Linked DNA regions of Notamacropus eugenii. The protein of the gene in region 1 purifies or fractionates together with the protein of each later gene. This does not show direct contact. Links are inferred from orthologs where the notes say so. Each region holds a gene or a part of one and is shown in the gene's direction. Other genes may lie near its edges.

Region 1 (8,841 bases):
AACAGGGTAAAGCAACTTGCCCACGGTCACACATAGAGTAAGTTTCTGTGGTGGATGCTACACTAAAGTCTTACCTTGCTGTCTTACTGTGGCATCAAGATGATCTTGTTTTCTGAAAAATTCTGCCAGTGAAATACAAACTTCACTATGGCAGGTCACTCATAGATGGAAAGGTTTTGAGTCCTGGGATTGGTGATCATCTAAGAGCCAGTCTTGCTAAGTGGGGAGGATCATGGCCCAGAAAGATGTTGGATTTCTTAACCACAGGACCTCATGATCTAAGGTGTAAAGAAAAGAGTTGGGATTGGTATCAGTGGAAAGGGTCAGTGTGCTCACACCAATGGAGTCCTGGATCCCTGAAAGACAGAAGTAAACATAGGTGTATCCATGAAGGACTGCTCAAAAAAGGTCACGGTGCCAGCCAACCTTCCCCATCTCAAACTAGACACAGGAGTCAGATCCCAAGGATCACGTTCCCAAAGGCACTGGATTTGGAGTTAGGAATACTGGGCCTACCATCTATCAGTTTTTCACTTTTCCTTCTTGAACCTCAACTTCTTTATCTGTAAAATATGAATAACAATATTTGTCCTGTCTAACTATTGGAAGAAAAAATTACATAACAGAGGCATGAAATCTTCTTGTGAATTACAGCACTATATAATCTATGGCAGCTACCACCAGATTAAAATGTAATTGGGGAATAATAAAAAATAAAGATACAATAAAACATGAACCATATTATATTTTTAAACTAAGGCAATATGCCACCTCCAGGGGTCCTTAGGTAGGGTTTAGTGGTAATTTATGATTATTTGGCTCTGGAACCTTCTATAGCTCCCTACTTGCCTCCAAGATAGAAACAGAAATTCCTCAGCTTGGCATTTAAAACCATTAACAAACTGGCTCCAGCCTGCTTATTTCACATTATTCATTACTGAATCATAGATAGAAAAATCAGTCTAGAACTAGAAGAAACCTCAATGGCCACTGCTTTTTGTTACAGAGGCAAAAAGGCCTAGGGAGGTTGCCTTGCCCAAGTTCACACAGGAGATAAGCATCAAAATAAGGAATTGACCCCAGATCTTCTGGCTGCTGAACCAACACTCTCACCAGCCTATGCTCTGAATTCCAGCCCAACTGGTTTACCTGCTATTCCCAAAACTTGGCATTCCATCTTCTGCCTCCGTGGCTTTGCATGAGCTATCTTTCCACCCCTATGCCTAGAATGCACTTTGACCTCATTTTTACTTCTTAGAATCCCTAAATTCATTCAAGGCCAAGTTTAAGGTGACACCTCTTTCAAAAATCCTTCCCTGATCCCCTTGGCAATTAACGTGCTCTCCTTGCTCCTTAAATTATTATGTTACTTGTCATTTGTGTTCCCTGAACATGCAACATTAGCTCTTGAGGACAACTCTTGTTTCGTCCTTGTTTTCTTATGACCAGTGCCTAGCCCCCTGCCAGACTTGGGGTGTTTAATAAATGCTGATCAGTTTACGTGTATCCGTAAGTATAAGCTCCTAGAGTACCTAGAAGTAGACACTTAATACATGGCTTGCTGAGCACCTCCCTCCTCTCAGCTAACTATTGATGTGGAAAGTGATATATTTTTTTAGATATAATCACTATGTTTTGCTCAGTTGTTTTTCTTTGCTCTTTGGAACACAACAGCTCAGTGGCTGGTGAGGAGTGGCTTTGAGGAGAAATAACTGTTGTAAAAATTATAATGTTTTCAATTGGATTACATTATAATCATTTTGATTATATTACTTTTCAGGTGCTACATAGACAGATCTCACCTGGGAGTTCAAATGCCACAACTCCAACAGGCTTCTTCCTAAAAAGTAACTGATTGGAGGGACAGGAGACATGGAAGAGTCAGGTTGGCTAGGCTTTGAAAAGTCTCTAGGGACAATGGGGAACATTATTTTTGCATACCTTTGGCATTCTGGATTCAAGGAGAAATCTGCCAGTCACAGTGGGCTGATTGGGATGGAGTGATGGGCATAAAATGGGGTTGCTAAGCAGCAACAGATGACAAGCAGATATGAATGCTTGATTCTGGAATCTCCGAAAGCAGGGGGCAGGAACTGGGAGCAAAGGCCTAAGAGGCTTCCAAAGAACCAAGGCTATCTGTCATGTGGAGTTGCCAGGTATAACGAGAATAATCCTGTCTATACAAGAATTTAAACTTGGTTCTTTATTGTGTCTACCATCATTTGTGTGGATAGCGCCACTGAGGAATGCCTAGCCTCTTTGTGGTATTGTGATAGCACCGGAATTCGGACCAGATTTCCCTAAGATACTAGACCACAGTTTTAAAGGCAGGAGACGTGGAAATGAAAGCCTCAGCAGCGTCTGTGAGAACAAAGCATGAATTCAGTGAGCCCTGGCGAGCTACAGAGAGGCCTCTGCCAGGCAAGGATCTGGTGTAGGGAACTGAAGGGCAGCCAGTTCTCCTGGCAAAGCTGGTGGGGAAAGGGTGGGAGAAAGGCGATCACCAGGCTACCACAGGGTGGGAATGAGGGCCAGGGAGGCAAGCAGTCCAACAAGACACTTTTCTTCTCAAAGGAGGCAGAACCCTTCTTCATAATTTGTTTTTCTTTCTTGAAGGGGCAACACAAGGTGCCAGGCAAGTGGGTGCCAGCAATGAAAAAAGGAAACTCTCCCAGGCTGTGAGTCAGCCCTCATTCTGGGTGGTATTTATTGAAACAAAGTTCACAAGCCTGGGTCCTACTCTAGGGCTCTGAGCTAGGTTGTTTTCCCACTGGATCCAGTGGTAACCAACTTGACAGCAAAAACATGGGGGCCCTACGGGAGGGGGTGTGACAGGAAAGGAAAACAAAATTGTTTTCAGCAAGTAACGATTTGCCCTGGAGACTGGACTTTGGATTCCTCAGTCAGCTAAGCTGGGGCCTGACAGAGGGGCCCCAGGTTTCAGTGGTTGAGTGTGCCCTTCTCTATGGCTGATTTTGTGCATGATGGCAGCAGACTGTGGGTACCATCAGCTGTTTCCAGGCACCGACAGCTCCCTTCTCTCTCCTCCATCCTACCACCTGCCCTGTTAAGTGGGCTGTACAAGCACAAACTGCTCAAGGAAATTCAGGCATTGGTTTGTGTTATTTTGTGTTATGAATAACACTAAACCAATATTAACAGTCCTTTTTATTTTCCTAGAGACCAGCATTTTTATTAATTCAAAGTACTCTATACATTTTGGTGGTGCATATTTATTCACCTTTGTCCCTCACCTCATCCGAACCTTTAAGGCAGTAGGTTGGGGCACAAAGAAGCCAGAGATTTTCTAAAGGTCACATAATATGTCAGTAGAATTAGGATTAAAACACAAGGGAAGCCATCTCCTACTTTGGTATGTTTCTTGTATGGTTCTGTTGTTTCTTATGCCTCTGAAGATCTGAAATAGTTAAAATTTTCTCTTCAATGCTGACAGGATACCCTGTTAACCCTGGAAACCCATACTCTCTCCTGATCCAGTGGGTACCACGCAGTCTAGCTAATCTTTTTAACGTTTTCTTCTGTTGCCTTTCCTAGGAACTCTAGCTTTGATAAGGGATAAAGATAGCCACTGTTTGTCTTCCATTTCTCCTTCTCCATAGCTTTAGCAGGTTTGCAGTTCTCATCTCTGCCTTCCAAGATTTTCTTCACCAAAATCCTACATTTCTTTTAAGATTCAGTTCAAGATTTGACCTTCTCTAGTCAAGAAGTCAAATCAACAAGCATTTAAGTGCCTACTGTGTGCCAAGCACCAGTCTTCTATGATGCTTTCTTAGCCTAACCTTATTCTATAATAACTTTTCCCTTTTATATTACATTATTATTTCATATAAGTTATCTTCTTCCCAACTAGATCATCAACTCCTTAAAGACAGACTGCTACTCTATCCAGCTATTTATTTAATTGTAATAAAGATGCTTGAAAAGTAAATTTTCATGAATGGTGTATCATCTTTGTCTGTTACTAGTTGCATGATGTTTGGCAAATTAATCTCTAGGGCATCTATATTCCCTCCTTTGTAAAACGAAAGGGACTGACTAGATAGATGCTTGATATTTCCTTCAGCTCTAACACTCTGATTCTACCTGTTTATGTTATTATATTTCTAATTATCGGTTATATCCATCCCTAACGAAAGTGCTACAAATGAGGTAGTGTACATAAAGTGCTTTGCAAACATTAAAGTGCTGTATATGATGCTAGCCATTTTGTTACAACAGGGTCTGGCTATTTTGGAATATATCCCATGCATGACAACCTTATCTATAAGCAAACTCCAGTGGCTTCCTGTTCGTTACCTCCAGGAGCCAATACGAGATGCTCTGTTGGGCATTCTTGCCTTTCTGATCTTTTTACACTGAATTCCATCCCAAGCCTGCACAATCTGCAGCCTATGGGCTCCTTGTAGAATGCCAACAGTTTCAATGTCATCTCCATGGGTGCCTGCGTGACAGACTGGATTCCATCTGTCCATCACTGGCTCAGTCTACAGTCATAACACCGATGTGATTTTTTTCAAGACCGAGGTCCTATGTTTTATGGCCAGATAGAGGCAATGAAGAACTCCTGCAGGCTAAGGCAGCTCCGTGCCAAGCCCTGGCTGGTGGAGCTCCCCAAGCTGCCAAGGCTCCGGGTATGATCTGGTAGGGAGGGGGGGCTGTCCCAGAACCAGCCTAATAAAATCGGAGGGTCTGCGGGTGGATTCGTTTTTCGCCACAGTCATTCTGGAAAACCATCGAGTCCTAAATGGGTTTCGATCCGCATGCATCTGGGGAGGGCATCATGACAGCCCACTATTGCTGAGCTCCTCCCAAGCCTTGCCTAGCTGCAGCACTGTGCCTAGCACGTGGGCGGAGCTGAATACACGCGGGTCGACCCACGGCCGATCGCGGAATTCGGAGGTAACTGGCCGCCTGGGTCCGGTTCCAGTTCTGCCAGGGTCACAAGACGATGGTTTCTGTCCTTCCGTGGGTCGATCTGCTAATTGAGAACTATGGCCTTCCTCTCGCGCGTTTCCCCGGACGTGCTTCGGGGCAGTTCAGAGCTGTATCTGAATATCATGCGTGCCATCGCGGTCACGCCAAACCATCTTCGCTGAGTTTCCGCAGGTCATCTTGGAAACTTCGGCTTGGGCCCCACCGTCTTCGTTCATTTACAAGGTGAAAAGTGCCCAAGCACCCTCTGCTGGTCCTCGCAAGCAGAGTTGGGGCACTGGCAAGCGGAGGGAACCATTGGTGCAACGAGGGGGGACTTTTGATGGTGGGGGGTAATCGGAAGGGTTACCTTTAATTAATGGATATTCCCCTCAAAAAGAGCATGGTAAGGTAAAATCACAAATGACGTCGGTGTGTTATAACTGGAGAAGGAAAGTAGCGAAAGGCACAGGTTGAGTAAAGATGGTTTGCTTGTCCCCTTCCCGTTTTTGTCCCTTTGGTATAGCCCAGAGAGAATGTCAACAGCCTGGCTGCCTCCGGTAATGGGGATTTCTGGGACATGTAGTTCCAAGGGCGAGATTTCCGCGTTGTGAGGCGGAACCCTTAGCAGCGAGAGAACTTTCTTTCCCATAGTTCTTTGGGACAGGGAGAGGGAGGAGAGAAGGCCGTGGCGTAGCGGCCAGCCGTCGCGATGGGGGTGGGGAGAAGGGGGCCGAGCCGCCGCCGCCGTCGCCGCCGCCGCCGCTGTCGCCGCAGTCGCAGTGGGTGTTTGTGTTTGGGGCCGGGCAGCTTGGACCGCAGCCGGATTATGTCCGTGTGAGGATCTCCCGGCACCCCGCGGCCGTCCGGAGCCTCTGCCAGCCCTCCCTCCACCCCTGGCGCCATGGGGTCCATCCTAAGCCGCCGGATCGCCGGGGTGGAGGACATCGACATCCAGGCGAACTCGGCCTATCGGTACCCTCCCAAGTCCGGTGAGAAGCCAGCTCTTCCTCCCCAGCCCCGGCCGGCCCGCGGCAGAGCCTCGTTGTCGGTCCCTCCTCGTGCTCCCCTCCCCGCCCTCAGTGGCCTTTCCTGGCCGGGCTGTCCCCTGTGCCCCCTCCCCCCTGCTGTGGCCCTCTCTAACCCCAACCCGGGGGCCCCGGCCCGAGGACAGATTCCTGGTCCAGCAATCTGGATGCGTGCATCCCGGGCAGGCTCCTCCGTGGTGCCATGGTGGGCACCTTGTACCCCCACTGTCCTCAGGCTTCTGGCCCTGACCCGGGAATAAGAAACCCACTGATTGACGCAGAACCCAAATACTCACCTTCTGCCAAGCTGGAGCCAAGACAGAGAGGCCGTCCCTCCCCCCTCGTCCGCTTAAATAAAGCCCCAATGGGAAACATCCCTAAAAACCATTCAGGCTAGCACCAAACTGGAAGGCAGGGGTATCATTTGAAGCCACTCTAGCTTCTGGGTTGTGGTTGGGTTTCGTGAATCCGTTCCCAGGACTTAGGAGCGCTGGAGCTCACCTGCTGTCATCCTTGAGCCCTCATAGATTGTGACTTAGAGGGGACTTTTCAGCTGTGACCCTCTACGGATGGGGAAACTGAAGTCACTGGGACTTAAGTGACTCAAGGTCACACAGAAAGGAGGTGGGAGTCAGAATTGAAGGTCCTCTGATTCCTTATCCAGTACTTTGTCCCCATCGGTAGGGAGCCTTATCTAATCCCTACCACCTCAATGAAGACTTTGAGGTTATTATTGGGGCGTCCTATCTATTTGGCCCTGTGCCTACCCCTCCTTGAAATACTACTAGAGCCGCTGTGGATGCCACTTGGCCATCCTTAATTTCCCCTAATTCTAGGTCCATAGTCTTACCCATCTTTCCCTTCAGCCAATTTGTCATTGAGCCCAAAGTATTTTTCCTTTTGCTCAGATCTCTTCAATCTGCCATTTTTCGGGGGTTTCCCCCACTGCAGCAGATCCAAGTTGGCAAAATTTGGGCATTATTTCAAATTTTCTAGGGCTCACAAAAGTAGGGATAGGGGTGAGTGGGCCTATTCTCATAGCCATTAACAAATAAAACAAAGAAAAGAAGCCATAGGGGGTGGGTATAGAGGAACTCAGATTCCCCCAAATCTTCCATGCTTTAAATATTCCTTGAACAAGGTGCTGATTTGGGAGGATAGTAAAAGGGCACTGTGGAACTGTTTGTAGGGGAGGGACTGGATTTGTGAGGAAAGCTGATTTTTTTCCCAGGATATTGCTATGATCTTCAGGCACAGGGAGAACGTTTTGGCTTCTAGGTACCTGGTGAAATTCATTGGCCATTATCTTAGTGCCCTTGTGTCCCTAGGTGGTCGTGCTGAAGGATAGTGGATATGTCCATGTACTTTATACTCTCTTACCACACACGGTGCCAGAGAGACAACTGCAAAACTGCTCTGTTATCAGCCTTAGGTTGTGCAGGGTTCATTGCAACTGATCAGAAGTTTCCTAACATCTGCCACAGAATGAATAGTTCATTCTTTAAAAGAAAGTTAATCTATCTCAGAATTCTAAAGTGGATGAAAAGCGTTTTTTGATTGTTGTTTTTTCACACTGGGCAAAGCCAAAGGAGTCCCTGGTTTTTGTAATCTCTGGCACCAGATGCTCTTTGCCTTGTCAGGTAATCAGTTCTGTATATAATATAAGTGATTTTAAGGATTCAGAATGATCACTCCCCTTTTGGGGTCTGCCAATCTCAAGACTCATGCGTTATTTTCAAATAATTTTCTCTACTGATCTGCTTTCTGTCACAGAGAGTTTCTGTGATTGTTTCCCTTCCTAGACCTTGTCTCTTGTATGGGTCTCATGGCTCCTACCATGTAGAATTGGAGAGGTGGATGGATGGATGGATGGATGGATGGATGGATGGATGGATAGATAGGTTATTCATTATGTGCCAGAGGCTATGCTAAGCATTGGGGATACAGATGCAAGCAGAAAAAACAATCTTTGCCTTCAAGGAACTTTTATTCTACTGACTGAAGATGTCATGTAAATGGGAGTTAGAAAGTAAGAGATACATACTCTAGTATGGAGGTGACTAAGAAGTGTTGTGGAGGCCTGCTTCCTAGCAAGGTAAGGCAAATGATTGCCTTTCAGAACTAGAGGAGTTAGGAGGGAAGTTCAAGGCTGCAATGGAGTTAAGATGAGATTGATGACTGGAGCATAGGCAGCATGATGAGGAATTGTCTGCGAAGTGGGTATTAGGATTTTTCCAAATTCTGCAAGAGAATTTTCAATAGCTGCAAACCTAAGTTGAATGGATGATACAGTATGGCCAATCCAGAAACTTAGGACCCTTTTCTTCAGATGTCCTCAGTTTCCTTCTCTCTCTTCTTGGGGTTAAGAAATCACAAGTGTTAGCTGACCTCTCTTTTAGCATTATAAATAAGTACTAAAAACTTAATTACTAGTTCAAATTTTTCCCAGCCTACTCTTGAGGATTTTAGATGGTCATAAATTAAAATTGACACTCTCTATCACCCCTTTGATATAAAGTGGTTACTTACCTTATGTGAGGGGGTGAGTGGCAGGGTCTGTCCGTGGGACATTTGTCAGGAGATCTGACACAAAGTGATACGTTTTCTTCCTTCCTGAGTGAAGAGAGGGAGAACTATTGGTCTGAGATTTGGGGACCTGCTTGGCCTGTTTTATGAAATTCCTCACAATAACTTCTTGTGAAGTGTTTGTGACCACACATTAGTTGGGGGCATGGTACTGAAGATATATAGATATAGATTTACATACATGCATATACATATACATATATAAAATTTTATATATAATAAACATGTAATATGATATATAAATAAAAACCCATCTTTTGCTTGAAACCGTACTATTGAAAGTGGCCCTAAGGGA
Region 2 (7,176 bases), about 630 Mb from region 1:
AAAAGGAGACAAAACTCAGATCTGTCAGTACCTCTGGTGAAAGACTTAGTAGGAAAGACAGTTGAAGTATTGGGTTGCAATTATCTGTAAATTCCGCTTATATATGTCCTCATGACAATGGGCAAATGCTCTGCCCCTGGCCTTCAGTAGTCCTAATGGAGTGACCATATTTATCCTAATGAAAATTAGTGTAATGTGGCTGTCCTGAGGCAAGATTACCCGGTCTTAGTTGCCCACTGGCCAGGGTTTCGCCAGGAAGAGGCTGCGGTCAGCTTTCTGCCAAAGGTTGTCCCATTCTCACGCTCTTTGAAGTCTATGTGCCTTGGTGGGTGGGGAGCATCGACGTCAAAGGTCTCATTTATGGATTGAAAATATCACTGAAACTCAGGGACAGCTCCTTTCTACAGCAGTCAGAGACAGGAAAGCTGAAAGAGGAGTCCTTTGGTTCTGATTCTGCATCATGCTCTAGATACAAAGAATGATTTGAGTTATTACTGTACTGTTTAGACCTTTAGAGATGAACTGGGATAGGAGTCTCTTAGGCTTCCTATTGGGAAGGAAAAAGTGACAAACCCAAGGAGGGATTGTCTAACCTAGGGGAGCCAGCTTTCGATGGTCCTGATGTCCCAGCATGGCTGCAGAAGTCAGAGGAAAGAGCTGAGAGATCTCAGAGTTCACCTTGACCACCTTTCCCCCTCCTTCCACCCTTAGTTTTCAGATGTGTAACCTCAGGCTCAGAGAACTGAGGTCATTTGCCCTAGGTAACAACTAAATGATTGGGGAATTAGGAAGATAGCATTGGTATGTCATGATGCTCTGGGTTCTTTCCCCTTTGACAATTTCTTTTTAAACCAGGAAGGAAAAGGGTTAAAATGGTAGATGATAGGATTTAGAGTTAAAAGATCAGCTAGACATTATACAAAGCCCTTTACAAATATTCTCATTTGATCCTCACAACAGCCCTGGGAGGCAGGTGCTATTATGATTCCCATTTTACAGTTAAGCAATCAGGCAGACAGAGACAAGTGACTGGGATGGAGGTTTGGGAGAACTAATATGGCTATATGGAAGGGACACATCTCCACGGGATGGTCTGATGCTTTCCTTAGGTGTGTCATAGACTGGAAAAGATTGAGACACAGTGATGTGAAACATGAAATCAGATATTTTGGATGGGACATCAATAATTGAGTTCTGTTTCTAACTGCACCTCTGACTTATGACTTGGAATAAGTCACTTTATCTTTGTCTCAGTTTTCCTATCTGCAAAAATGAGGCTAATAACCCCATTCCTTGTGAGAATCAATGTAATTATAGATGTGAAAATGCTTTGAGCTCTTTGGAAGAAAGACAGTAGGGGTAATTCCCTGTCATCACACTACCCTCCCTGTGGGCACTCTCTGCTCTGCCATGAATGATTTTCAGTGTAACATGCTCAGCTTCTGGCTAACTAGTGCTGGAGCCGAGGAGTCTAGGTTTGATGTGACTCTTTCCCTGGGGCCAATGTGGTCTTGCTGGTCAGTGGAAATGAATGAATAGAGAGAGAGCTGTTGCTGGCCTTCATCCCAAACAAACCCTTGCTTTGGGTTGAGGAGTGTAAGCCAAAAAGTCATATATCAGAGAATGTTCCAAATTACTAATGATAATAGAAATGCAAATTAAAGCAAATCGGATCCCAGTTCACATCCTACAGATGGGCAAAAATGAGACAGGTACATTAATGCATCATTGGTAAAGCTGTGAATCGATCCAACTCTTTTAGAAGACAATTTGGAATTCTAAAAAAATAACTAAACTATACATAACCTTTGACCTGGCAATAAAAATGTTAGGAATATTCCCCCAAGAGGGTCTCAAAGATAAAATAGCAAAGACCTGAAGGAATATAGGTGCCTAAGTTGGGCTGAGCAAACAGTGGAATAGGAATGGAGTGGAATATAATTAAACTATCAAAAATGGCAAAGGGGAAGAACTCAGAGACTTTGGGGCAGATTTGAATGAACTGATGCAGAATGAAGTAAGCAAAGGCAGAACAGAGAGGGAACAAAGGAGAACAACACCGAAAAAACTTCATCAGTGACTAATCCCATGTTCCATTGTGTCTTCCAAGTAAGGGGAAGTGTGCCTCCCATCTCAGAGATAACAAAGGAGAGGTATAGAATGAGACATCAGTTTTCAGACCTGACTATGGCATCAATTTATTTTGCTCAACTAGATTTATTTATTATAAGAGAGGATCCTACTGTTGAGAGGGATGGAATTATTGGGAAGTGACAGTGATATAACAAATGAAAAAATTCATCAATAAAACATTTTTAATAAGAAAAAAGTGCTAGCTACGGATAGCACAATGGTGCATGGCCAACCACCCCCAAGCAAACCAAGCCAGAAGGTCCTCTTGTTGTTAAGCACTCCTTACATGTGTTGCATTCTTGGGCTTATGTTCAGTGGAGGGACAGTTGGTGCATGTTTTTTTGTTCACAGGTGATTGTGCCCTCAATGCAGCCTCTGAAGCTGAGAAGCCACAAAGTATGGACCAATTCTCTGCTGCTTGTGCTAATTTTGGCCTAACAATTAACCACCAAGAAAACACAGGTTCTCCATCTGCCAGCACTACATCATCCATATGTAGAACCCTCAGTTACAGCAAATGGAGAAGTTTTGAATACTGTGGATAAATTTACTTATCTTGACACTATACTTTCCAGGGATGTACACATTGATAATGAGGTTGACACACGCATTGCCAGAGCCAGCTCAGTGTTTGGGAGGCTCCAAAGGAAAAGGGAAGAGAACAGTATTCGACTATACCAAACGGAAGGTCTACAGAGCCGTTGTGCTGACCTCATTATTGTATGCCCATGAAACCTGGACCATTTACCTGCACCATGCCAGGAATCTGAATTGCTTCCATCTGAATTATCTTACAATGATTCTGAAGATCATTTGGCAGGATAAGGTACCAGACAATGAAGTCCTTTCTTGAACCAAACTGTCAAGCATTCAAAATCTTCTGCAGGGAGTACAACTCCAATAGGCTGGCCACATTGTTTGAATGTCAAACATACGCTTGCCTGAAAGATTATTTTATGGAGAACTCACACAAGGCAGATGTTCACATGCTGGTCAGACAAAGCGATACAAGGACACTTTCAAGGTCTCTCTGAAGAACTTTAGAATCAATTGTAAGATAAGGGAGACACTGGCACAGAACCACCCAGCATGGTGTGCCCCTATCAGAGAAAGTGTTGTTGTGCTCTATGAACAAAGCAGAATTGAAATAGCTTGAAAGAATTGTGAGATGTGTAAATTTAGAGAATCCACCCCAAACGTTTGAGCTCATATTAGTCTATTCAGCCACAGTTGGACACACTGTAACTTAACTCTAACACAGTGAGGTCATTTTGTTCCTCTGGACAAGCGTTGCTTCAATGGTATGCACCATTTCAATTTGCAGGTGAAGATGGTCACTTTCTTTTCATTTTGGCCTAGTGTTAATTTTCAGGGTAGAATGTGTCTAAGGTCTTGGGCTAGAGATCTCAGATAAATGAATAGAGCTCTACTGGTTGGAAAAGAGAGGCAAACTAATTATTTGAATAATGAACTGGGACTCTACAATTCTTTCTAACTTCCGTAGTATTGCCGCCTCATCAAATACAATTATGAAGCCCTTTCTCTCCTCCTGGGACTTAAGAGAATTAACAGAAAGGCTCCATATGAGCTTAACCTTTAGGGTTCACAGAATCTTAACGTTGAGAAGGTCTTTGGAAATTATCTCTTCCAAACTGGGACCTCAGTGCAGGAATTCCCTCTACAGTATAGCTGACAGTTGAGTCATCTAGCCTCTGCTCAAATACTTCTAGTTCTGGGAAACCTACTCTAACAAGGTAACCCAATCTAATTTATAGGCAATTCCCACTGCCTTAAAAATCTTAATTTTAAACTGAAGCCAATCTTCCTGTAATAATTCAGTGTTCCTAGTTTGGACCTCCCAGGCACTGCTTCTTTGGGTTCAGAGCCCCTGGTACCAAGTGAGAGTATCCTTGGTTTTACTGTCAGCTACCTGAATCTAGCAGGCAGTACCTACAAGACATTTATGTAAGGTCTTGAACTTCCTCAGCTCTAACAAGTTTCATAACTAATCACTCTGCTGTGCTGGGCATTCCCTGCATGAGCCGCTATCATGTGGTCAATCAGCCTCCTTTGAAGGAGGGGCTCCACAGACTGTCTTTAAAGGAAGGGGGAGAGAGGCTTCATTCTTCACTGGAACATCAACTCCAATCCACTTCTTTGGACCAAGACTGAGGGCTGCGCCTGGAGTTGCCAGGGGATGCAGAAACCGAGGAGATGTGGACCTCATATCCTACTGGCTTGTTCACTTCACCCAGCTAAGGAAAAGAGATGAAAAAGCCAAGAGGAAAAAAAGAAAGAAAGAAAGAAACTTCCGTTCCTGTGGAGCAAAACAACCTGTGGGAGCAGGCAGAAGAGAAAAGTGCACAGATTGAGAATTTAGGTTTGTTCAGGCAGGAAATTTGAGACTCTCTGGGTCCTGGAGTCAAGCAGTAGAGAAAGGATGAGTAGGCAACATTGGACGTGACATGGGTTTATCGCAACCTCCATTGGGCTAATGAGATCAGTAGGATGTCTTTTGATGGGTTAGAGAAATAATGAGTATGCATTGGATTTGGTGGCTGTGATTTTTGTCTGAGACCAAAGGGGGAGGGAGGAGGAAAGAAACATTGGAGATTCCTCTGGACACTAACTGATGAGAACAATGAACTGAAACAGCAACAGGCAGCTGCTGGACCTTGAGAAAGCCCTCCAGGGTAGGAATTTGAAAATTCCAGTTCATCCATGTTGCCAGCTTCACATTCATAGCTCCCTGCTCTTAACCCGGAACTATGCCGATGCCAGGTCAACAGAAGAGATTGTTTAACTCTCTGAACTCCACTTCTCCAGATACCCTCCATCAAGTTATCCCCACCAACCAGACAGATATTCTGTGCCAGGGGTTCTTCATTCCAGATGAGTTATTCTTGACTCTGGGGCTACTGAGCCTGGTGGAGAATGTCATGGTGGTGGTGGCCATCATCAAGAACCACAACCTCCACTCACCCATGTACTATTTTGTCTGCTGCTTGGCTCTATCAGATCTTCTGGTGAGTGTCAGCAACCTGCTGGAGACCTTGGTGGTGCTACTGCTGGAGAAAGGGGTGCTGGTGATGCAGACATCTATGGTGCAACAGCTTGAAAATGTCATTGATGTGTTGATCTGTAGTTCCATGATGTCCTCAATTTCCTTCCTAGGAACCATTGCGGTGGATCGCTACATCAGTATCTTCTATGCCCTGCGCTACCACAGCATTGTCACCCCTTGTCGAGCTCAAGGAGTCCTTGCTGGCATCTGGGTGTTCAGTGCCCTCTCCGGTACCCTCTTCATCTCCTATTACAACCATGTTGTAGTCCTGCTCTGTCTCATTGGCTTCTTCTTGTCTATGTTGGGGCTCATGGTCGTCCTCTACATTCACATGTTTATCCAGTCATGCCAGCATGCCAGGAGGATTGCTCAGTTGCACAAGAGATATACCATTCACCAATTTTCAATCCTCAAGGGGGCTGTCACCCTCACAATCCTGTTGGGCATCTTCTTCCTCTGCTGGGCCCCCTTTTTTCTGCATCTCACGCTTATTGTCCTCTGTCCCAAGCATCCCACATGCAGCTGCTACTTCCAGAACTTCAACCTCTTTCTCATCCTCATCATCTGCAACTCAGTTATTGACCCTCTCATCTATGCCTTCCGCAGCCAGGAGCTCCGCAAGACACTCAAGGAGGTGATTCTGTGTTCCTGGTAAGGGGGTGGGGCGGCATTGCAAATTCCCATGCATGCAGGCATGACTCAGTGGGACAGAGGTGCAAAATGTAACCAAGGAGAGTAGCTTCTCATCTGCAGATGTTCTGGTTAGTGGGCACAACCTGTTCTATCCCATGGTGAAGAGGAATATGCATCATTAGTCAGCCTGGCATCCAACTTCTGAATTGCCTTTTTGAGAAGGATGATGAGATGGAATGTGTGTGTGTGTGTGTGTGTGTGTGTGTGTGTGTATGTATGAGAGAGAGAGAGAGAGACACTATGCACGTGTGCATTTTCAATTTTCAATTTTACTCATGTGCTTAGGTATGCACACACATGGATGCTCAGGTGTGCACATAATATACAACAGGAACAGGAGAACACTCTTCTGCATCTAATCCACTTTTCTCCTCCATTTGAGAATAAGCTTTTCAGCCCCATCCCCAAAGCCTTGAAATTCAGTTTGTTACTGATATGAGTACCTGGAGACCTGTTCCCTCCCCATCCCAGTCTGCTAAGGATACTGCATCTAGGAGGCAGGGCCAGGACACTCCAGATTGGAAAGAAGATACCTCAACAATAGCCTGGAGTCATGAAAAAGCATTTGGAGTATTCCCACCCCTCCTACCTCCCCACCCAGCTCCAAGATATTGAAGACTCATAGGACATGCAGTCATGTGGGATGCCAGTAGTAACCAGGGACAGATGACTGGGAGTACTACTATGGAAGTTCCACTCCCAACTTGGCCACTTGACTCTGACTCCCCTGCTTTTGACCATACCATCGGCTTGTAACTGACTTGACCTGGCTGGGTTAGTGACTGTTACTGAGGCTGTGTGGGAACTGTGTGACTGAGAAATGACAATAAATCTACTCTGCCTAGACTCTTATGTCTGATTGCTGGGAAGAGGGCAGGGTGGGGTGGGGAGAATTGGTGACTATGCATATATCATCCCTCTTTCATATCACTTAAGGAAAGGTGGGAGAGGGGAAAGTAAACAATTGAAAAATAGGCAGGAAGGCAAAAGCTAAGAACTGGACTGAACTTCGCAGATCTTGCCTGACTTAACCCAGAGTCAGAGTAAAAAACTTTCCTTTAGAGGAGAAGGCCCCAAAATATTGGGGAAGTTACCTTGGTTAAGCTTGGAGCCCTGTATAACCCAGGGAAGGAAAGAAATCCAAAGACTGCTCCTTACAGAATCACAGAATTTCAGAGTTGGAAGGAATCTTATAGGCAAACCTTCTCATTTGACTTATGAAGGAAACTGAGGCTCAGATGTCATACAAGTAGTAAGCCACAGATTACTCAGAGTCCTTGACTTTA

What was found.
Region 2: the proteins of MGRN1 (region 1) and MC1R purify together in Homo sapiens (affinity purification with western blotting; 3 studies listed by BioGRID). This does not show direct contact. The link is inferred for Notamacropus eugenii from reciprocal best matches to the Homo sapiens genes MGRN1 and MC1R.

What each region holds. Positions count from the first base shown.
Region 1 is NC_092872.1:81,887,353-81,896,193, forward strand, and holds the start of MGRN1 (E3 ubiquitin-protein ligase MGRN1), read left to right. Parts: upstream 1-5,634; 5' UTR 5,635-5,836; coding exon 5,837-5,924; intron 5,925-8,841. UniProt on the Homo sapiens protein: E3 ubiquitin-protein ligase. Mediates monoubiquitination at multiple sites of TSG101 in the presence of UBE2D1, but not of UBE2G1, nor UBE2H. Plays a role in the regulation of endosome-to-lysosome trafficking.
Region 2 is NC_092872.1:707,869,151-707,876,326, forward strand, and holds MC1R (melanocyte-stimulating hormone receptor), read left to right. Parts: upstream 1-4,820; 5' UTR 4,821-4,901; coding exon 4,902-5,852; 3' UTR 5,853-5,938; downstream 5,939-7,176. UniProt on the Homo sapiens protein: Receptor for MSH (alpha, beta and gamma) and ACTH. The activity of this receptor is mediated by G proteins which activate adenylate cyclase.